Linked DNA regions of Arabidopsis thaliana. The protein of the gene in region 1 interacts with the protein of each later gene in a pairwise test. Each region holds a gene or a part of one and is shown on either strand. Other genes may lie near its edges. The genes, in order: UREF, AT1G49840 and AR401.

Evidence for each region.
Region 2: the proteins of UREF (region 1) and AT1G49840 interact in a two-hybrid assay, tested with the Arabidopsis thaliana proteins (one large-scale study listed by BioGRID).
Region 3: the proteins of UREF (region 1) and AR401 interact in a two-hybrid assay, tested with the Arabidopsis thaliana proteins (one large-scale study listed by BioGRID).

What each region holds. Positions count from the first base shown.
Region 1 is NC_003070.9:7,662,597-7,670,415, reverse strand, and holds UREF (urease accessory protein F), read right to left. Parts: upstream 3,970-7,819; 5' UTR 3,847-3,969; exon of another isoform or gene 3,573-3,846; 5' UTR 3,558-3,572; coding exon 2,835-3,557; 3' UTR 2,622-2,834; downstream 1-2,621. Other genes in the region: sks8 (SKU5 similar 8), read left to right, coding at 1-29, 115-224, 541-811, 1,028-1,127, 1,215-1,557, 1,688-2,053, 2,191-2,269, 2,371-2,613; AT1G21835 (Plant thionin family protein), read right to left, coding at 4,480-4,752. UniProt on the Arabidopsis thaliana protein: Required for the maturation and activation of urease via the functional incorporation of the urease nickel metallocenter.
Region 2 is NC_003070.9:18,447,355-18,456,845, reverse strand, and holds AT1G49840 (glutamyl-tRNA (Gln) amidotransferase subunit A (DUF620)), read right to left. Parts: upstream 5,101-9,491; 5' UTR 4,604-5,100; coding exon 4,094-4,603; intron 3,743-4,093; coding exon 3,398-3,742; intron 3,319-3,397; coding exon 2,689-3,318; 3' UTR 2,383-2,688; downstream 1-2,382. Other genes in the region: AT1G49850 (RING/U-box superfamily protein), read left to right, coding at 402-614, 704-897, 1,175-1,520.
Region 3 is NC_003070.9:24,865,595-24,872,900, forward strand, and holds AR401 (S-adenosyl-L-methionine-dependent methyltransferases superfamily protein), read right to left. Parts: upstream 3,494-7,306; 5' UTR 3,295-3,493; coding exon 3,053-3,294; intron 2,893-3,052; coding exon 2,764-2,892; intron 2,682-2,763; coding exon 2,481-2,681; intron 1,837-2,480; coding exon 1,740-1,836; intron 1,449-1,739; coding exon 1,345-1,448; intron 1,233-1,344; coding exon 1,181-1,232; intron 1,010-1,180; coding exon 758-1,009; 3' UTR 501-757; downstream 1-500. Other genes in the region: CLPP3 (CLP protease proteolytic subunit 3), read right to left, coding at 1-52; AT1G66690 (S-adenosyl-L-methionine-dependent methyltransferases superfamily protein), read right to left, coding at 3,960-4,292, 4,378-5,031, 5,130-5,204.

The DNA.
Region 1 (7,819 bases):
ACATATCTCCGCTCAAGGTTGCACAACAGGTGATTTATCTTTAACCGTATCCACACCAAATTATTTGTTGGTTTGTTAATTGGATTTAAGTTTGTTTACCGTTTTATCTACTAGGGTATATTGATCAATGGGAAGTTCCCAGGACCGGACATCGCCGCTGTTACCAATGATAATCTCATCATTAACGTATTCAACCATCTCGACGAACCTTTCCTTATATCATGGTATATATGTTTCCTTTTCCTTATACAAAAAAACGAATGTCTAGTTTTCTTTTGTAATCTCTTGCTTAGAGTTAAGGCTGTAAGAAAAAGACACATAACTTTAGTTTATTTATGTGTTCAAATTCATATATTAGATATATATGTCAGTTGCATCTATATGGTATAAATCGTTCCGTAATAGATAACAACCAAAAATTTGGGATCATATATATAATGCTTCAATTTAAATTTAGACGGTGTATATATTTGCATGGCGTTTATACATGAAATTCTTAGCAGAGGACTCATTGTTCCTATTTGATGTCTTTTTGTAAAGGAGCGGGATTCGAAACTGGAGGAATTCATACCAGGACGGAGTGTACGGGACGACGTGTCCAATCCCGCCGGGGAAAAACTACACCTACGCTCTTCAGGTTAAAGATCAGATTGGAAGTTTCTACTACTTCCCCTCTCTCGGCTTTCACAAAGCCGCCGGTGGATTTGGAGCTATTCGTATCTCCAGCCGCCCCAGAATCCCCGTTCCATTCCCAGCCCCCGCTGGTGATTACACCGTTCTCATCGGTGACTGGTACAAAACCAACCATAAGGTACGATTCCCCTCTTACGTATGGCGCAAGAAAAGGGGAAAGAAATAGTAGGGCGATAAAATGATTATATTTTGTTGTCGGGTTAGACTTAGAGAATGGGACAAAGTGTTTGTGTTTTTAACAAATTTGGAAAGCTGCATGCATGATGTATATCTGTACTTAAACGTTGTTGCTTGTTGGAATTTTGGAATTAAAAATTGTAATCTCTCCTTATAGGACTTGAGAGCACAACTCGATAATGGTGGAAAGCTTCCATTCCCGGATGGAATTCTCATCAATGGGCGCGGTAGTGGCGCCACCCTCAACATTGAACCAGGTTTTGCTTTTTCACCTTTCTTGTCTTGTTTATTGGTGATTCTCTGACTGTAAGTGTTAATAAGTTATGATGTGAGTTTTTCTGTAGGTAAGACTTATAGACTGAGGATATCAAATGTTGGATTGCAAAACTCTCTCAACTTCCGAATCCAAAACCACAAGATGAAGTTAGTTGAGGTCGAAGGGACACACACTATTCAGACTCCATTCTCTTCGCTTGATGTTCACGTCGGTCAATCTTACTCGGTCCTTATAACAGCTGACCAGCCTGCAAAAGATTATTACATTGTGGTCTCTAGTAGGTTTACCTCGAAGATCCTTATTACCGCTGGTGTTCTTCATTACAGTAATTCTGCTGGACCTGTTTCTGGACCTATTCCAGAAGCACCAATTCAGTTGCGCTGGTCTTTTGACCAAGCACGAGCCATCAAGTATTGTTTCATTTTTTTTTTTTTTTTTTTTTTTTTTGTATTGTTTCATTCTTTCATTGACAATTACAATCTTTGTTAGTTACTTAGTGGTATACAACCGTGTTTGAGCGGGTTTGTTTGTGTCTTATAGGACCAACCTTGCAGCGAGTGGACCTAGGCCAAACCCACAAGGTACATACCACTATGGCAAGATAAAAGTCACTCGAACAATCAAACTTGCTAGCTCTGCTGGAAATATCAATGGCAAGCAACGATACGCGGTGAATAGTGCATCATTCTACCCAACAGACACACCTTTGAAACTAGCGGACTACTTCAAAATTGCCGGTGTATACAACCCTGGAAGCATACCTGATCAGCCCACACATGGAGCAATATACCCTGTCACATCTGTTATGCAAACTGATTACAAAGCTTTTGTGGAGATTGTTTTCGAGAATTGGGAAGATATTGTCCAGACCTGGCACCTCGACGGTTACTCTTTCTTCGTGGTTGGGTAAGTTAAACAATCATATTTGCATCCACACGGTAAAATTTGGTAGCATTCTCTAAACCAAGATAGAGTTCTTAAGAAAATCGAAAGTTGTGTACATTTTCAAGACTATTGACTGATGATCACTTGGTAACAATTAGGATGGAACTTGGGAAGTGGAGTGCTGCCAGTAGAAAAGTCTACAATCTAAACGACGCAGTCTCACGGTGCACTGTTCAGGTGAGAGTCCTCTAAAGCCTTATATATTTTGATCACACAGTTAGCCATAAAAGCTCAGTATGGGTTATAAAAAAGGTGGATCATTGGATGAATTTGTGCAGGTGTATCCAAGATCATGGACTGCCATATACGTATCACTGGACAATGTAGGAATGTGGAACCTAAGATCAGAGTTATGGGAAAGACAATACCTGGGACAACAGTTTTACATGCGTGTTTACACACCCTCCACTTCCCTCAGAGATGAGTACTTGATCCCGAAGAACGCTCTTCTCTGCGGCAGGGCCACTGGCCACCACACCACGACACCCGGTCCTCTGAGTGAAGGAAGTGAGAGGTTTTGATAGACGATTGCAATGACTTTCTGAAACACATTTCATATTTCCTTATGGATTCTAGGTCACATATATATTGTTGATTAGTAATAACGAAATAAAAACAGATTTGTCTACAAATACACATATATGATCCAACTGAAAAATTAACAATAAGCACATAAACTACAAACAATTAACAATATGCACTAATCGATGTAACCTAAGTGAGGTTATATCATATGTTTTCATCAAGAGCAAAACAGTCTAGAAAACAAGTAACCGTGACAACCTTGCACAACATCCAGCAAAGGAGAAGTCTGACATGCTTCACCAGCTTCACGATTCATCCACTTCTCTAAAACGGTTTCAGTAACAATGGCAATGCGATGCTGCATCACCGAAGCACCCATCGGTCCAACTATGTTCAATCTCGTTGCAGCAGAAAGAACATCTCTGAGCGTTACAAACAGATACGCTCTCTGAGAAGTCTCGGAATCCATGCCGAGTAAACCACATACAAGCCCGAATATCGGTGCATGGTGGAAACATACATTTTTTGACCCCAAAGAAGCATCACGAATCATCTTAAGATTTGGTACCTCAGTAAAAACCGAAGCAGCTATACGAAACAAAGCTGATCCTTGTGACATTGACGCCTTTGAAGAAACTTGGTTAGTTAAAGTAGCGTTAAGTATTCCATCAAGTTTATGCCATGTCTCTATATCAGGAGATTTGAGAGCAGAGTAGACAAAAGGAAGCAATAAGCTAGCTGTGTTATCCAACACATGAATGATGTGAGTTTCTAAATCTTCAGGAGACGAAACTAACCGAGTCTGAATAGCTGCTTCGAGACCAAACGAATGAGCAAATCCTCCTGTTGGTAAAATTGAATCAAGTAATTGCCACTGACTCCACTGCATACAAGAAGAAGCTCTTGACATAACAATGTCGCGTCTTTCGTCTTCTTCCATCAATGAGACCTCTTTCTAAAGAGAAGTTAAACACACACAATGATGCATTAATATAGAGAAACAATCAGAGCAATGTTTCGATCTAAAAAAGCGATTTTTGAAACTTTGATAATCTAAGAAATTGAAACAAAACTATACAAAAGTGACTATATCAAGACTCTTTAGATAAATTCGGAGTCTTGATTCCATTGAACAGGTGAGATGAAAACAGAGTATGCTCAATGAAATCGATCGGGAAAAAAATAATCTAAAGATCTGAATCGCTAAAAAAAGGGATTGAAAAATCTACAGATAGGAAAGCTTTTTGGATGAACGAGAGGCGTCGGAGAAGATGAGTGATAGAGAGATATAGACTTCAGAGTCTCGACGGAGACAGAGGCGGAGAGATATAACTCCGACGGAAGACGAGAAGAAGGAACTAAACATTATTAATTCAACTTGATTTGTTTTTTACGGTTCACTTCGAAACCAAACGATAACCGACCGGTTTGCGTCTAAGCGAACCAAACTGTTTGCTGATAGATTGTTTGATTGTATACTGTGTTATTGAATTGCAGTTGTTCTTTTTTTTTTTTTTTTTAATAAAAGTTTTGTTTGTTAATAAGTTTTGTAATAGTTGTTTGATGATGATTTCAAGTCACATTTTTATTCTTGATGTATCGATGTTATCGCGACAAATGGTTATTAAGTCTTTGGAGAAGACTCAAAAGATCTAATAACCAATGGTTATGTATATATTTGAGTTGACCTAGTTTAGTTAAATCGAAATATTTTTTTAGGGTAAATGTTTTTGTTCACATAAACGCTTGTTTAATAAGGACGATGAATTAAGTAGATACAAATTAATAACTTAGTCATGCATAAAGTTTTACAAAAAAAATAGTCATGCAAAAAATAAAACATCGAAATTTTTTTCGTGGAATTAACAAAACTGAGGCAACCATCTACAGAAGTGGGAGCTTCCCTTAGGAGGAGGTACAATAAATTTTTTACCACCGAATAGTTGATTGTTGCAGATTTTCTTGCAAGTTTCATCACAAATTTCAGGAGTAGAATTTTTCGCCGCTTTCAAACACCGGTTATGTGCACAATGTTTCACACACATTGTTAGACTGTTTGATTGAGCAATGTGTGCAGAAAACATCATCGTCAATATAGCTACGAACATGAAAACATTGCATGTTTGAGTCGTCATAACGTAAATACTAGTGATGATTTAATACAAATGAGTATTACAACTTGTTTTGTATTTCCTGTTTATAATTGTGAAGAAGATGATTTGGTGGGTAATATTGGGTTAGTCTAGGTGATTTATATAGTGAAACTAATGTTGTCAATTTTAGCAATTGTTTTAAATATGTTTTTTGTTTCTCTCTGTATATAGCCAACAAATTCTGTAGAGTTTAGTTGTACTTTACTTTTTTAGTTGTCCAAACAAAATATTACTGTGAAAAAACAAATCATAGCTTACAGATATACCATATTCCAATTTTGGTTTTTTTGTAACCACATGTTATTACAGATATTTCTTTGTAAAGCAACATAGATCTATTGGATTAAAATCTATTAAATGGTTATGTGGATATGAATACTGTAACGATACCAAATCCAGATCAGTTAATTAAATTTGGTCACAGGATCTCTAAGCTCAAAAGAGACATAATCGTAGGATCTTGATCGCTACTGTCGTCTCTTATCCTATTGTTTCCTTGTCTTTCCCCATGTGATGATAAATACTTAAATTGAAAACACTTTACAAAAAAACCTTACAGATTTTTTTTGGTAAAAGACTCAAATTGAAAACAGAGAAGTGGCCCACAAATATGATACCCATACCATAAAATCCCATAATGGGAACATTACTTGAATCCTACCCAAAGATTCTCCATTCCTCCCATGTGATCATTCTTTTTAGTATTTTGTTCTTAACTTCACTTTTTCTTATATAAAAAGGTCCTTTTTCTTTGTGTGTTCTTTTATAGATAACCTTCTAGGACTCCTTTTATTCCTTCAAAATTGATAAGATCGTATAATTAATTACACGGATCTGAATAATGGCCATGTGAAGATCTATCAAGAAGTGGACTGAGCAAGAGTTTTTTTTATCGAATTAACTATGCAACAATATGTTGAAATCTATATTCAGGCATAACGTTATGTTTAGAAAAAGGTATATTGGACAAAATTGTAGATAATCGTACATATTAGCAAAAAATGTTCTCAAAACGTCAAATAAGTCCAAGACCCAAAACAACTATTTTTAATCAACATTACAACATTTTCTTTCTGATCAATTGATCAAACCATTCGGACCACAAATCAATAGACAGGTAATTTCCTTGAATATAAAAAGTTAATTATCTCTTATCTCTTATTTTGAATAAAATCAGCATATATGAACAGCGACAAAAGTTTGTTTAAAATGTGATTTTCTTCAATTTGTCATGTTCGGACCCGTCCGACGGAACCGGTCCAAATTGGTTTGAAAAGCATTTGTTATTTAATCAAGTCATACACTAAAAGCTTTGATCATTGTGAGTAGTAGTATATAGTGTAGAGGAAGTATGTGGGATGGTGGTCTAATTGAAAAAGTGATGATACATTGAAACTCATCACTACACATAACAAATCACCTGTCAATGTCTCTCTAAGTGTTTGGGTCTTTAGCTCTTGATATTGAAGCCTGTCTTCTTCTTTTTATTTTTTAAGATCACGTGAACGCTCAAAGTTTTTGACCAACAAATAAAATGGACCCCTTTTATGTTCACATCCAGACCCCAACTTTTATAAACTAGGTCAATCTAGCTCCTAAGCTTTAATCATGATTTATTTACTTACTTATTCAATTCCCATTTGGATTATAAGCACGTGATTTGAAATTTGTGAAGACAAATAGAAGACTTAATTTGAGCAATTTTCGAGATGATTAGCAAATAGGGAGAAGTTTCATCAAACCCGAAGCTAAATCTGATCTTTTGTTTCGCCCAAAGAAGAAAGAATTGCTTATGAAGCGATATAGTCTTGATAATGGAGAATTGCCCATGTGATGGATGTGAGAGCCATTTAAAGTTATGAAGAAACATAATAATTCTCACACGGAAATATAATGAAAACTAAAATCATTTGTACTAACACATGCATGAGTCTATTCATTAATTATCAAAAAATGTTGGTTTGAACTGAACGTCGACATGATGAATTCTAAGTTCAAATGAAAATTGAGTTTCTAAAAACAAAAAGTTTGAGGATTTGATTTAAATATTTTGACAATTGTTTCTAAATGTAAACAACTATACGCCGAAATTTCGATCAAGTTGTTAGAAAGAAATAAACTTGAAGTGAAAGTGAGGAGATAGAATTGAATATATTGTCGAATATGGAGAGAGACCTCCAAAATCACTCACTCACACATACATACCAAAGGAAGATGACTTGTATTAATGGGTCCCTTATATTCGGATACATTCTCTTTTTAATTACGAATGCTACAAGTGGATGTTTCTCGGCCAACACGTCCAAAAACTAATTTGATTTTTTCTTAACAAACAAATATAGATTCTCTGTTCACAGTATTTTTTTTAAAATCTGATTACTAGTTTTAAATAATATCTATTACACATGCCACGGATCCACAAGCGATCAATCATCCTTCTCTAACTATCTGTTCGAGTCTATATCTAGTAAGACGACCAGAACATGCTACGTTGAATTGGTTAATTAACAATGTAAACTATGTAAGTATTTGTCTGACGATCAACAATTTATAAACTATTTTAATTTTTTTTTTATAAATACTTTTATTTATGATATCTCGAATACTCGTAGGCCATGATAACAGTAGTAAGTTCGAGATCTGTTCTATACTTAGACTTCACACATAAAACTTAAACTCTAAATCTAGGGTATATACTATTATACTATATACACTAATTTTCTAGATTATGTCATTATCTGAAAACAATGATGTAAACAAAATCTATTAATTAAAATGAGCTTTTAAAGGATTGTGGATTAGATATTAATTAAAATCATGTCATATCCCTTAAGTCGCCATAATTAATCATAACTAAAAGGCTTGTCTTGTTGACAAAATAAAAATAAAAGGCTTGTCTTTTTTTCTCTCTTTTTTTTTTCCGGCAACTAAAAGGCTTATCTACTAGGAATTCTTTTTTTGTTAAAATTACTTAAAAACAATATGTAATATATACAAAGATATTCGATATATATATTACAAAGCTTCTATTTCAGACCTAAGCCCATCT
Region 2 (9,491 bases), about 11 Mb from region 1:
ATATATGGAGTTCATAGTTTAAATGGCCACTTTTTGAAAGTTGGTATATTAAACAACATTTTTTCCCTTTTTTTCCGTCAATTTCTCCATTTATTCAGTTTAGTGTTTCATAATGCTCTCCCCGTTTTCTTGGGACCTATGTATTAGTGGACTTTACTTGGATAGGCCCAATAATTGGGCTTTTCCCCTTAGTTTTTTATTACAGCGACACCGTTTTTAAAGATGTTTTGTCTTAGCTCCGACAGCAAGTGGGAGATGACGTCACCTTTTCACTGCAGTTTCCCTTTACTTTTTCCTCGCAATTTTCTCTCTTCTCTCTCTCTGTCCTCCTTATCTCATCGTCTCTGACTCGCTGCACTTAGTTTCAGATCATATAAACGAATTTGGTGATTGATCGGTGCATGACGAGCGCATCGGAACTCTTCTCTACACGAAGATCACGTCCGGGTCGATCCGACCCGGCTTTAGAATCCGACACTTCTTCCTATCGACACCACTCACACCATCATCATCGCCGTCACGGCGTCCATCATCATAATCAGCGTCATGATTCCGACGGCTGTGATCCTCTCCGGCGACCCACTCCCCGTCTCCGACGCTTCTTTCACCATCCGGTTAGTTACTTTCCACCAAATTAGTAATTACTAATTTCAGTAGTTGTCTGAATTTGGTCCTTTTTACTAAAATCTCCCCTAATTTACAGATTCAGGAACGTAGTAGACCTATTCGTGATGTTCAAGGCACTAGTCAGTATTTAAATACGGATAGTACTGATACTGAAACTCAGAGTAGCAGCTTTGTTAACCTAAATGGATCCGAGAGGCTTCCTGGAGCTGTTCTGCTTGCAAGGGATAGACTTTTCGAAAGATTGAGAGGTGTTTCTTTGTCTAGTAACAGGTCTGTGCTTAACCCACTGATAAATTTTACAGCTTTACTTGATCTGCACTCTAGTCTGATTTTAGATTTCTTTAAAAATAATTGCTTTTGTCTGATCAAGATTCTTTGAAGCATGTTTTGATTTTGCTCTTGTTTCTTGTGAGGATTGGTCAAGACTTAGTGTAAAAATCAGTTTTTGTGGATTATTGTTGCTTTGTGTATTCTTTAATATCTTCTTTGAAGCCTCTTTTTCAAAATTTGGTTACGGATTTGTTTCAACTTTGTTTTTCTGATTCAGTCGAAGCAACAGAGTTTCATTGGATGATCAAAGGGAGTCTTCATTTCATTCTATAGATGGAGATCCAATTTTTCAACTAGCAGGGCTTCAAGTGACCTATGAATGCAACAAGAAACCACAAGGTCTTACTCAAGATGCTATTAACTGTTTACACCGGCAAACTTTTAGCTCAGCCGAGGTTAAATCCGAGATGAGAGATTGTAGCATATGTTTAGAGAGTTTCACTAAAGGTGACATGCTAATATCCTTACCCTGTACCCATAGTTTCCATTCTTCTTGCTTAAACCCTTGGCTTAGAGCTTGTGGAGATTGTCCTTGTTGCCGTAGAGCCATAGCAAAGGAATAGAAACTTGTAAATAGAATCTTTGCCTAACCATTAGGCCATAGCCATACACATCTTCTCTTCTTCTTGCTATAGACATCCTTAAAACGATCTTCTGAGTTTTGTCGCCCATGAGTGTTTTTTTTACTGTCACATGTTTGTAATGGTTTTTGTTGTGCCATTAGGCAGTTCAAGCGTTGATATCGTATGGTGTGAATCTTTTTAGTTTTATTCACTGTGATCTCTCTTTTAATGTCTTGTTGGTTATATGAAAGAGACTTTTTCCAAATCCAAATCTTGATCCGACAATTTGGTTATGCTTTGAGGTTATAGCTCAACAACTTAACGTTTTCATTTTCAGAAATTTTGATTGTCTCAATCTGGTGATACTACTTTAAAGCTTTGCTTCCTCTTCCAAAACGTTGTCATTATCATACATCCATGTACGTTACATATATTGAAGTCTAATATCAAAAGATTCAATCAATTTATAACAACTTTAAAAGAAAGTTATGCCAAAAAAAAGAGAACTTTAAAACAAAGTTAAGGCTAAAAGGAGAAGACAGTTGTGCACAAAAAGCTATTTTTTGCTACAAAAGCATATCAAAATGGACCCCTTTCTTCATAAATTCATGATCATCATCTTCAATTCCTTTCATAAAATCCCATTTATTTGCTCCTAACCATCACTTTCTCTATTGGGTACCTAACACACCTCACTCTCTAACCACTAAAATTAACAATACATACATTAAGAATGTCCTGCCTTTCTTTTTCTATCACATCAATTTCATGTCTTCGACAACATTAAAACCTATATGATTCAAATTCAACCAACTTAAAACGGTTTAGTTCAGTTTAAAATCAACGAAAGCTGAAGAAGATAAGAGAGCTTCACTTGCTAACAATTAACTTTCCATAGATTGAAATTTTGACTTGCTAGAAAAATATGAGACAAATTCAACATTTAAGCAGCAATTCTCCTTCTCTTGCTGCAAATAAATCCCATCACCTTACTCAATAATATTGAAGGCGACAAAGAAAATAAGAGAAATGAAACTTAAATAAACCAATCGTGTAATCAAACTCCTAATATTTGAGCTGTTAAACAAAGGGGTTAGTTAGTCTCATTTCAAGGCTCGAGTCTTGTTATTAGGATTACTATGCACAGATTGCATCTTCCCTACCATACTCAGACATCAATATGCCAAACAGGATCATTGTCGAAGCTTCCTTTCTCCAAGGCTGCAACTTTAGCTCTATGAGCTGTTGTTGAAGCCAACGCTAGTGAGCTCTTCCCTTTCTCCTCTTGACCCGAGTACTCGCAGGCTTCAGTTAACGAACCAGACCGAAGATCAGCGGGTGGGATAAAGCAATCTAGAGACAGACCAGGAACATTGAAAGCGACTTCTTCAATGGTCCATCTTTCCTCCATCTTTGTCCTAGTGTGGCTCATAGCAACTTCCCCAAATCTGAAGAGGGTAACAACAGAGCGTCCAGAGTGAGCAATCATGATCCCTTCCACCTGTTTGTAGTCGTCTAGAGACGAATTGATCGTGGTCTCCCAGTAAACAGCATCACCATCGTTAGATTGGATTCGAGTCAACTGCGAATCCTCAATTTGAGCTAGAAGTCCTGTTCTTTGGCTGAAGTAACCGAAAAGGATGTGTCTTACAATCTCTGCTGGTCCTTCACTCCTCGCCCTTAGCGTTTCAGGATCAGTACATAGCTTCAAAATGAAACAATCTTCACCATTCACCTTCCTCTCTCCAACACATTTCGATTCAGCAAACATAGTAGCAGTAGTTCTCGGATCAAGTCCCTGAAACATCATTTAACATAACAGAATCAGCATTGGATTGATTTCAAAACCATGTAAGTTTTAGTGTTTGGGGATTAACCTGAAGTGCACGACGAAGAGGCCTGACGGGTCCTTTAGCAGTGTGAGAACCAAGCCAAGGAGTATGTCGCCAAACAAGCTTCCCATTACAGCCAGCACGAACTTTACTACCACCAACAGAGAGCTCAACGTACCACATATCAGGATTCATCTGCCAGAGAACAAACCCACCAGTTTCCGACTTTGTAGAGTTTCGGTTTCTAACAGTTCCTGTAGGAGTTTCAAGCTCTGAAGTTATCATCTTTAACTTACCCATAGCATAAGCGTTCTTAATGGCGTTATGTAACTTGTGGCCACCACAAGCCGCCGTGTACTGTTGCAAAATGTACTGTGCAGATGATGTTTCCTGCAAACAACATATCACCAGAGAGAAACAAAATTTACACAATAATAGAAACAAAAATCGAATTTTGTTTGAGTAACTAATCTCTGAGTATTACATGAATCAAACCCCCACCAGATAATGACAATATTCCACCAACCAATCCATAAATCATCCAAAAATAAGATTTTTAACTAAAAACCAAAAAAGGAAAAAAAAATCATAAACAAGAAATTAAATCGAAAATGTGGAGCAGAGAGATCTGGAATCATAAATTTACGATTTTTATCGGATTAAAAACATAAAGTTTGTGTTTTTACTTCCCAAAACCCTAAAAATTTAGAAATGTAACAATGAGAATAATCAGAGACTAACAGTGGGAGAGTCTCTGATGGTGAGATGAAGAAGATGACTGGAGGAAGAGACGTTAATGGGAGCGAGAGGAGCTCCCATAACACCGAGAAGAAGTCTCAAATCAGACTTCCGATAAGCCGGCGTAGTTGAAGTCACGGACGGAGCACGTGACCACTGACCTTTGACCCAATGACTTAAACCCGACCCGAGTCGTTTCGAATCCACTCCAGAGACTTCACCGTTATCTGGATCAGGACCTTCCATTACTGGTCTTAAACTACTGGATCTTCCAATAAACGGCTCAGGTTGCGACAAGTAATAACCTCCTCTTTCTCCTCCGATTACTCCTCCGCCGCCGCTGCAGCCGGAGCTTGCGATTAGTTTCTTTCTTCCCCAGAGAAGAGCTTTCATGTGTGGGGTTGTTGAACGAGACGGGCTTGCGGAACGAGAACGTGGTCTTGAACGAGAAGGAGATAAGCCTCTTACGACTTCGTCTCTGAGTGATGAGAAAAAACCTTGTTTCTTTTCCATTTTTTATGGACTCTTAAAAATGTAACCTTTCGTCTTCTTCTTCCTCGTAACCGAAACAAATTGAAGAGTTCGAAAAACCCTAAAAGGACAGAGTCGCCGGAGAACGAGAGAGGAAGAAGTCGCAGCGGAGAAGAAGAGAGAGAGAGCGTTTTGACGATACTTTTAAAGGACCCGAGTGAGTGAAGAATCCAGAGAGCGAGACTACAGAGGAAAAGGATTTTATCGGTAAATGACTATTTTGCCCTCTTTAGTATTTGGGGGAAAAAAACAAAAAGTGAATGGATTTAACGCGGCTAAGTTTAGAAGTGGGAACATCATTGTCAAAATGCGTTGGTTCGTTAGTTCGTTATCGTCTTAACTTTTTAAGTTTGTGATTGTTTTTGATAAGTTTAGGTGAAGAGTATCAAATCGCGAATACAAGAAAAGAAAAAAGGTAGATGATATTTTCGTGTTTCATCATTTAATTCTAAGAAGTGTGTGTGGGAATGATGTGAGAAACGTATTTGAAATAAAGACTAATTGACAATGGACTTTTGTGTTTAAGTGTGGGATTGCTAGTGGCACCGTTATGGATGGTAGACAATTACAATTAGATGGTCTTTGATTTAATGTTTGCTTTTTCCAATCGGGTTGTGTATTAATTCTCAAGAAATGGGTTCGATCGGTAATCATCGTTTTAACGAGATTGTTATGATCTATATTTTCTTGTAGATAAATATTTAGAGTAAGAAGACGGTTTGGCTGAAATGGACGGTTAAACAACACTAGTAAATTATTGGTGCTAATTCATCATATAAACGAGTATATGTAGGGTAAATGTGAAGGAGGAAAACGAAAATCTAGAGTAAACTTGAGAAAAAGGCCTTTTCTAGTCCAGTTCTTTAATATAGCTAAACGATTTGACTTGCTAGTATAAACCATGACAATTTATAAGTTTTTAAATTAACAGAATGTTAAGATATCCGCTATTTAAGTGTTTAGTATAATTGATATGTATATATGCACAAATCAGAACAATCGATAGATATTTAATCGGAGTAAAATGTTGAAACTAAAATATAGGTTACAAATTTACAATGAAGCTACGTAGGTGAATAATTAAAAGTGGCCACTATATATGATGATTAATTAATCATAGTTTGAAAGCTTGAAACGTGTGATGAAACTAAACTTAAACATATTAAAGGAACCACGTGAATGTCTTTGAGGTTCTCACTTCTAACGGTCAAAAGAACATAGAAAAAACACACAAATCCTTCTTTTAACAAAACAATAACAGACTCGTTAACTGTTTCCATTGTTATTATATAGTGGTTACAGCTAAGTTATGATTCGTATATATAAACCTTTGGGTCAATCAAAACTATTGCAACAAATTCAATACTATCTGTCTCCCCCAAATGCTAAAAAGTAATTAATTGGGGACATTGGTGTGCATGTGTGATTCACTGATTCTTGATAATCAATTTTCCGACTCCTAAACCTTCATGGATCCTGACAAAAAAAAATGTTTTAAGAAATCTTAGTTTAACAGTCGACTAACACTTATCCCCTATTCATAAAATGTTAATTGACATCATACCAACGAAAGATGTATTACTCGAATATTGTTTTTCCTTGTTGACGTCATTTATTAGTCTAACTAGCTTCTTTTATGATTCCAGGCTTTTAACGAACATATAGAGAGGTATATTTTGGATTGAATGTTTCAAGAAATCACATGCCATCATGTTAAACCGTGTTTGGATTTTAATTACGAACTTTCAACTTAACACCAACTGACAATAAAAAATATTGGCTGATATCTCTTATTAACTAGGCGAGATATTATTATTTCCAACTTTTCATTTACATATACATTTTTGCAGCCATTTTGTAAAATAAATCCTATAGTTGAAACTTATTTACAATGATATGCTACTGACATTAAATTTTTAATTATTTGATTTGATTTTTAATTTTTGATTTAAAATATCAATCACGTTATCATTCAAATTTAATCCCAACAACAAACTTCAAATCAAATTCCTTAAAATTAGCTACACATAATCATTCACAACATTATTAATATTATACTTTATTAAAAGGTAAATATTGTATTTATTAAATTAAACGTTTATAATATTTATAGGAAAAAATGTTTAGAATATTTATAAAATAAGAAATCTATAAAAATTAAATAATCATTTGAAAGACACCTTTTAAATTGATTTGAATTATAAATCTTTTAATAAAAATATTATTTAAACAAAAAATAAAATAATAATATTTAATTTCACCGAACGGATTAGATGGTAGAACGGATTTAGAATATTATAATATATGAACTTTATAACAATTAAATAAGCATTTCAAATAAAATTTTTAAATTGATATGAATTATATATATTTTAAATTAAAGTATTATTAAAACAAAAATAATAAAATAATGTTTTATTTTACTGAACGGGGTTAGATGGTATGACGGGTTTGGATCGATAGTAATATGAGACAGTATATCACTGGTGAAATCCATTAAATATATTTAATTTCACTGAGGTAAGACGGATTTGGGTTTATAGTAATACGAGACGGTATACAATGAGTGAAATCCTATAACTAACAATTAAAATACAGTTATATAATTTAAAATATATAACAAAACAAACAATCTTAACAAAAACATATATAATTTAAAAATCGACTTATGGTGTATCCCATGATAAAATCAAGGGATTGTACAATATATCAAAATTAGAATTATATATTTATAAAATACAAAATAATATGTTACATATAAATAATTTATAAAAAAAAAAAATTTTCAGTTTTTTTTACACCGTGGGTTAAAATCTAGTTGAATATTAAACTCAACTACATGTTCATGTTATTTGATCAGTAATGTTTCACTTATAGTTGAAATTATATGCTATTCAGTTAATAGTTATAAAATAAAAATACATATAAAATTTTACAAAAATTGAAATACATTTTCCTTCTTTTTTTTTAGTTAAATACATGAAACGAAAATTGCAATTATAGATAGAATAAAATTGTATATTTAGAAATTTGCACTATCTTGGTTTTTGTATTAAAAAGAAAAAGGGATAAAAAAAAGTATATATTGAATGGGCCGTATCAGAAAATAACATGACGCGTTCCACTAAGAGAACAAAACTAACGTCTCTTAGAACACCCCCATTGGTAGAGTCCCTAATTAAGGATTTTCAATATATTAATCATATTTTTTGCATAATTCAAAGTTAAAGACTTCATAAGGAGATTCTTATTTTTTCCTCCTCCAATGGTAGAATCTCATTAGGGATTTTCAGAGAAACCTTAAAAGATCAACATTTTTTTCCAGAGAAAATAAAAACCAACAAAATCAAGTCCAAGGAACTATATTTATCTTCTAGACTCTGCTCAAGTTTCCAATTCATCCTGAGCCATGTCTTTGGTGATCTTGTTCTCCATCTGAAGATCAACAAGAATCTAACCAGGCCTAGTTCGACCAATCCCATGATTTCTTCTACCCCTAACCCACATAAGATTGAAACATACATACATTTCGTCTCTTAGCCACAAATGTAATCACATACAACACCAAACACTCATAAATCACCAAATAAATGTTATTTAAAAGCCCTTAACGCAACTTAGCTTCAACTACAGAGAACTTAAAGACACGACTGATGTAATCGTATACAAGGATCAAAGTAAATAATTGTGACTAGAACTCGAAATATTAAGCATGAAAATTTTTGAGATCTCTAACCATAAGAAAGCATCAATTGAAATAAGCAATGTGAAGAACTTACCAGGTTAAGGAAATTATGAGCAAGGCATCTTACGGAGGGACAATTCCTATACACAAAGCTATTAGGATTCATGTACTCATCAATGTCTCTGACTCAAAAAATATTTCGACGTTACCGTGACGGTTCTATTTACAAAACTCTGATTCCCTGTTAGGTGGTCCCTCTTCAAAGCTAAGAGAATGTGTAAACACACAACACAAACACAAGTTTCTTTTGGCAAATCAAGTCTAATTCCTTCTCATAACTTGGCAGTCTTTAAGTACACAAAGTAAAGCAAAGGGGATCGACAACTAATCCTAAAAACAAAGAACATTATTAACAAAGTGGGAATATGGAAACGTGGAGCTTGATCTCCTAAATCTAAGTAACGCACTTATCAATTCTTCTATTCTTTTTGACCATTTCTTCTGTGGTTCAATCATGGTTAAGCACTTATCATTCACCAAAAACATCTGCTTCATATATCCACGTTACCTGCAATGATAAAATGGGTTTGATTCCTTGATAACTCCAAAAAGATGCAAAGAAGATAATGATTCTGAATTTTTGATACAACACTGGTACAAAGCAACTTCAACTGAGATAAGAGACCCCGAAAAGTGACAAACCCCATCTCCGATTTGGTTCACAGTCCTCTCCGATTAAGTTCACCAAACTAGTCGACGTTGAGCACCGTCGGTTGAGATGATGAGCACGATGGATAAGAGACAAATTCCGTCGATAATCTCTTCCAATTTGATGATATAAACGCGTGATGATGATGATCACCAATCGCTCAATCGCCACCGGAGTTAACAAGAGAAGAGAAGAGAGGAAAATCGATTTGAAAAACAAAACACGGCAAAAGAAAAAAAAAAGTTTTGTCAAAAAAACACAACCAATGATTAGTTGCCACGTATGCGCACCTTAACAACTGAAAAAACTCTAAAATTAGGTGCGATCCCAAGTTTAAATCACATTTTAGATTTATTTTTTTCCAAAATTACTTAAGGATTTATGTTAAAAACTGTTAAGGATCTCCCAATGGACTTGCTCTTAATGTAAAGATTGATACGAAAACAGGCCATACACACTGATTTGGTTCAGCCTGA
Region 3 (7,306 bases), about 17 Mb from region 1:
GACAAATTGGGTTTGAGGTTGAAGATGAAGCGAGACGCAAACTCATCTCCATTGTCTTTGGTGTTGGATGTTTTTTTTTTGAGTTCTGAGATTTTTTGCTAAAGAGGATGAAGAAAAGCAACTGATGGGACTGTTTCTGGATGTTTTTTTTTCCTTAGATTCAAAACGCTGTCGTTTTTTCGTCCATGGAAATGTACAATTTTGTGTCTAACGTGTATGATTTTTCTACTCTTTTATAAGATTTACACATTACAAGTTTCAATCTTAAACATCAAACTCAAGTACTAACTTCCAATTCTAACAATTTTGGATTTTATGCTTCAACTTGTTTAATTCGTTATCTAATAACTAAGAAAATGTAAGAGTGTTTCAATCCAAAAAAATCCGAGTTTATCCGAAACAAAATCGAATAATCTAATCTAATATGGAGTAGACTGCAGATTAAATGTGGTTCGGTTCTAATAGTAATCTTTCTTTTTGTCGGTTTTATTCTTTTTTCAAGGAACAAGTGAATCCACTCATTTTGTTTTCAAATTACTAATTTCTTTGATTTTTGAATTAGTCTATGACACATACTTTAACATCAAAAAAGAAAGAAAAAAAACACTGACATATGACCAAATCAGTTTTCTCTTAAAAGAACTTTAGAGGTTATTAAGAACTCCCAAAAGCACATCAACAGTCTTGCTTGACACCAACATAAAAAGAAGAGAAAAGGTCTGGGCATTATGTTAAAACAAATCCAACAGGTTTGTTCTCACTTCCGCAGAAAAGCAACCGTTGCCACACGCGATCCTACAGACCCACTGAACATGAACGTCGGGTATGTCCTAACATGGCTGAGATACTCAAACGGAGGTTGATCAATTCTGCTTGCAGCTTCAGAGCCAGAGGAAAGTACATTGTTTGCGTCATTTCCATCTCCTCTACATAAGTTGGATTTTCTGATGTTGAAATTCTCTACTTCTTCCACCAGTTCGTCCTTTGTGTGGTTACACGATGTGATCACCTTTAACAGAAGCAGAAAGAAATTGAGATTAGACATAGATGCAGTTGTTTAAGGTGTTCTATAGCAAGCAAAACGGGAAACAAGAGCCTTTGGTTTCTTTCTAACAGCTTAAACTTATGTGCTTTAGCTGCTTATAACCTAAATCTTATTCAGGAGTCGAGATGCTCTTACCAATATTCCACCAGGAGCAACCAGCTTGGACACTGAATCCCAGTACATGACTCTGAAACAGACAAATGGGATTGTTATTGGTAACCAAACCTAATTGTGTGCTAGGTAACAGAAAGAAAGTGCGGTAATTTACTATAAAGGATAGCAATCTAAGGAGGAGGTACCTTTTGACAGGGCCATCAGGATGCAAACCAATAGCATCTAAAGTTCCTTTGTCCATTACCAGCTTGAACTGCTGTTCCAATTTTGTGTCAAGGATATCATCAACCTATGAGAGCCAACCGTTAGTTCCACAACGTAGAGCACCTTAGATCTATATTTCCCAAAAAACAATTTGCTACTGATGCTCATTACAGTAAGGATTACTAGTTCATAGAGAAGATTTCTGTGTCCTGTACTACTAGATGTTAATTTCATGTAACGTACGTATCCCATTGCTTGATCAAGGTAAGTAACCATTTTCAAGAAAGAAGAGACAGCATTTAGACTTTTGTGGAGGCAGACTTTTTGTAGTTGGGTTCTGTAACTCTTTTTTATATTGAAGCTAACAAATTCATACCATGAAACGGATATTTGGAAAGCCATCACGTTGGGAAAGATGTTGAGCGAGTTCTACAGCCCCGTCACTGTAATCAGTTCCGGTTAAATCAGAGAACCTAAGCCAGAAAAGTGCAAGGATGATGAGATTAGTAATGTCAAAACAAGAGTAGAGTCTAAACATAAGATTCTGGTTAGAAATGTGTTGGTGTGTAATTGTTCTACATAACTAACAATTATCAGTGATAAAGTTTAATAGCAATACCACATTCAGGACAGTTTGGCTTTCATAACACTGACGAAACAAGCACGAAATGCCTTAGGTATAAAGATATAGTAACATTTTTGTATCACTGCATAGGGGACTTACGCCTCAGAGAGAGGCTGACTTCTGAATTTCTACATTATTTTCTATGGAATTTTTCTTTATCGTGACAAACAATGGTTCAGAACCTATAATCATCAAAGTTCACTGTGGCCGTTATATTCCCAAAAGGCTAGTGATACACGGCCACCATCTAGGGATCCTCTATAAACAAGAAATTCAATAGAAGTTCTAGGAAGCAGACAAAAACCAGTACATTATGATAGCTTGTTTACTATAAATGCTACATGATTCTAAACTTCTCATACTAACCGAGTGGTAATCAGGCTAGTGAAAATTAACAAATAGCATTATCCATAGTCCATAGAGCTTCTTCGATTGAAACAACAAAGTTAAGCATTTAAAGCCAGAGCATGAGAAAATGTTTAGAAAACTCACCCTTCCTTAGCAAGTTGATGAAGGAGTAAGCCATTTCCAGTACCAAGATCAAGCACATTCCAACTAGACAAATACTTATCAGCCTGATCATTCACCTCTGTCGTAACATCGTTTTCAGAAACAGACATGTTTCTTTGAGAAATCTCAACGCATAAGTCTTTAGTCCAAGAAGTAACAATCTCCATCACATCATCTCCAAACCTAAAATTGCGAAAAGAAAAAAATAAATCAATAGCTAGGATCTTCTCTCTTAAGTTCCATAGTGAGATCTGAAGAAAGTTACCAAACTTCACCAGCATGACCATGCTCTCTGAAATTAGTAAGCTCATCGGAATACGCTGCATCCCAATAGCTTTGAAGACCAAGCATTGATTGACCTCCTCCATCAGCATCTGGCTCTTCCTTATCAGAACTATACACACCAATCCAATTCATCAATTACTCGATAGATTCGACTTTAACAAGCGCCTAACGTATTTTAGAACATCAACATAAAACCCTAAGATCCCCAATTTCTCAATCTAATCCATAACTCTATACAATTCTCCCCCATTGTAGCAGAAATACGAAACCTGTAATCGGAAGAGACACGGAAGTTAGCGGACGAGAGAGCCTCGGCGGCATCGGCGTGACGTTGATCGTCATCGAGAGTGCTTCCATACTCACTTTTGATCGACCACGAATCCGCCGCGATAGATCGATCGTCATCGGAAGCCAAACTATCCGTTGTTGTCGTTGTCACCGCGGCGGCGGCTCTGGCTTGTTGTTGAGGAGTCGTCTCAGGTTCTTCCGGTAGCAATCTGATTCCCGCCATCGCAGATTCAACGCCACAGAGAATAAACAGTACGGTTCCTTTTTTTTTTTTGACGCAGTCGAAGCTGAAAATGAAACCCCTACTCGTGATAATCCTTCACTTGTATTGTATATATATAACAAATCTTCTCTTTTCTTTATTACTTTGAGACATAAATATTAATGTTTCTAGGAAAAAGTATTTTAACACAAAAAAATATTTTGGTAAGTTTTTTTTTTCTTGATTATTTGTTAATTATTGTTATGAATCATTTTTATTACAAAATATAATTAAAATTATACTAGAAAGAAATCATTAAACTATTTTGGTCAAAGTTATTATACTTGCGAAAGGTCTTATGATTTTAGACATTTAGTGTAGACTGTAGACATTTATCTGATAAGCTCAAAGAAAATACTATTCGCAAGAAAACAGAAGTGTTTGTAAAAAATGTCTAGTCAAAGTAGGCAAACTTTTTATTTAGCTCTTATGGAATAACGTTATACGATCCATATACATCATTCATCAACAATACTCGTTATACGTATAAGCATAAAGTGAAGTTTTATTCATTTGTAGGATAGTGGAGAATATTACAAAACAACAAGAAGAAAAGACGACAAAGCACCATAAGATCGACGAAAGAAGAGAATCAACAATGAAATCATATTAACAATATATTTGGATCAGTTCTTGCGAAGCACGATGAGGTATTGCATCCCGGGTTTGACCTTATGGAGGCGAGAAATCTGTTCGCGTGCCTTGACCTCAACAAGCTCAAAGGCTTTCCTCATGACTTCGATTCCAAAATGTGCGGATATAAAAGCACCATATAAGGCCTTGAAGGAGATGGCCAATGTCTTGGGGTCTAGCGGAAACTCATTCTTAGAGTGAATGATATCCTCGAAAGCCTCGATTGTGAACTTCCCATTCTCCTCAATGATTTGCCTTATCTCGCCTTGTTCTGCAAAGTAGATTGAGGTTTTGAAAGTGTCCACCTTTTCCTGTTCGGTGACACCCTTTTTATATTAAAAAGAGATAATGTTAGTTCGTACTTACTTCATATGCAATTGTAGGTAATACTTTAAAAATCACATTACGTACCTTTTGAGCAAGGTCATTAAGAGATTCTCCAATAAAATCCATTACTGTTCCTTTAAGGGTCTCGGACATCTTAACTCCGTCTCTCATACACGATCCTAAAAGCAACATCAATCCCCCGGGCATGAGCTCCTCAGCTCTAGCATCCAAAAGGTTTTTGGTGTCAATAGAGTACTGCTCAAGATAGGCTTTCTTCACAGCGGGGTTGAACCCGGTGCACTGCATGTCTTTGTTCCACAACGGAGAGTCGCGGTCCATGATCCCTTTGGGGATTTTGGAGGTGAAAAGGAATGCGTAACTCATGACTGCGATGTGGAAACTCTGCTTAGGAAGAACACGGTTGAAGAAGGAACCAGGAACCCCGGCGCTAAAGTATCTTCTCCCCGGAGGGAGTGTCTGGAAGAGAGTGTTGAAGTCATTGATTCTTAAGTCGTTGAAGAGGACTTGGAACTCGATGTTATCCTCCGGGTTTTGTCCGGTTTCTCTAAGATACTTCTCTTCCACGGCATCTATTATGTTTTGGACTGCCACAAAAGTGTTAGGTCCACTTGCACAACCGAAATCCGCTACAATGAAGCGATTCGAAATCAAGTCTAGGTCGAGGTTGGCGGAGATCGCCTCGGTCATCTTGTCCTTTGCCGCTTCCAACAAAGCTCTCTTTATATAGAGGAGACTCAGTTAAATACATACATCTTTGGAGTTAAGAACCTTGCTAGCTAGTTATGAAAATTTGCAAATCATATAAATGTATGAACCTGATACGATGACTGTTGGTTGTAACTTTCAGGGCCATATCCACCAATCATGATCCAATCTTGAGTAGTAGTCATTATATATCTCTCTGTTTTATCTCAAACTTCTTTTCTTGTTTAACTTTAGTTTATGATGAGAGTAGTGAGTCCATAGACCTCTCTCTATGCTTATATATATAGTGCTTGAAAGGCAATATACTGAGAACTAATTAAACATGTGCATGGGAAACTCGTCAAAAGAAAACAACAGCTTATTTATTATAGGAACTTGAATGCGTTCAACATAACGTTCCATATATGACATAATCAATTAGACTATGATATGTGTTAAATAGTTATATGGAAATTGAAACACAAATAAGGTTTAGAAATTGAAGTAAGAAATGTTTCAGTAGAATTTTAACAATTTAATAAATTCAGGATTATGGTATTTTAGTGATATATAAATTGTCGAAAACTTAATTTAGAACCAAAAGAAATGTTTTGATTTATCGCAATTAAATAACATTAGTTTGTAAAATTATCTGTAATCATGTACTTCTAGCAGATTTGTCAATGTAGATCATAGCCTTCAAAGAAGCCATGGATGGCCAATTGTTTGAGAAGAAAGAGTCCAAATTTTTATAATATTTGTTTACTTCTTTTTTTTTTCTCAAAGTTGTATTATTAATAAGGACCAGTAGTCCAGTACCCATATAAGTACACACCAAAATATTTGTTTACTTCAAAAAACAAAATTTACAATTTTATTGAATAAAAACAAAGATTACACGTGATGTAACACGGGTTATGATCTACATAGAAAGTGAAGTACAGTAAAACCTCTATAAATTAATAATGTTGGGACTGCAAAATTTTTTAATTTAAAGAGGTTTTAATTTATCGATAAATTAATATTTATTAATTTATAGAGAGATTCTCCTAATTTGGTAATTTTTAAAAAATTCCATAAGACTTTTTTCACTATACAAAATGTCTTTCTAGAATCAATTACAAATAAAAAATAATGTGTCTAGAAAACAACACTAAATTTTTTTGAGACCGTTACATATTATAACTAAATTTCAAATAAGAATAAATACAAATTTAAGCAAAAAAAAATTATAAATATATTTCAAAACAATTTCTTATATAATATATATATATATATATATATATATATATATAATTGATACATTTATGTAGTTATTAATTTATGATATTGATGGGACCATATATTTACATAGAACTTTCAAAAAAGTTATTATCTTATTAATTTATCGATTTCTGTCATTATTTACACTAGCCCCAACTCGGATCGGAAAAATTTATAAATTTACAGAGATTATTAATTTATCAAATATTAATTTATGCAAGTTACACTGTATTAGTAGATTTGTCCAAGTAACTAGCAAAATCTTAGCCGTCAAAGAAGAATGTTCAACATTGGATAATTTTATATTGTTTGAACAAGATGAGAAATTCGATCGGTGGTTGCGATGTAAGGTACTATATATGCATATATAATTTGTGTTATACATGAAGATAGCCCTTTTTTTTAATTAATAATGGAGTATATAGTTAGTTGAATAATTATTATAAGTTTAGTATCCCATCTGAAAACTGTTTTTGTCAGTTACTATACACAACAATTATAATACTATAATAAACATTTGCTTCTAATTTGAAAGTTGGACGATAAACTTAACTAACAAATATTTTTGGAATTATAGCTATTCAAATTTAAATAAATATTATATATTTGGTTTTGTGTTTGACAATCTCAAGAAAAAAACAGAGTTTGGACACCTATGTACGGATCGAATTTCTATCAATAGCAACGGTGAGTTATGTGTATACATAGAAAAAGTTTGTTTTTTGTAGAAGTTTTTTAATTTTCGGTGGCTTATACACAATTAACTCTTACAATAATAGAGAAAGAGCTATAAATCTAATCTAAATACTATAAGAAAATACACAAAATGACGCTAGAATAAAAGAAAATTTCTAGTCTAAAAGAACATTTAAACAGATGACTAGTATTTTTAAAAGTCAATTTTATATTACTAAAATATACTAACACAAAGAACTAATCGTAAAACAAACAAAAATCATGCTCTCAATTTTTTGATGTAATTATTTGTTATTTTCTAACTAAACAATGGAATTTTAACCAACATCAATATATATATATATATCTC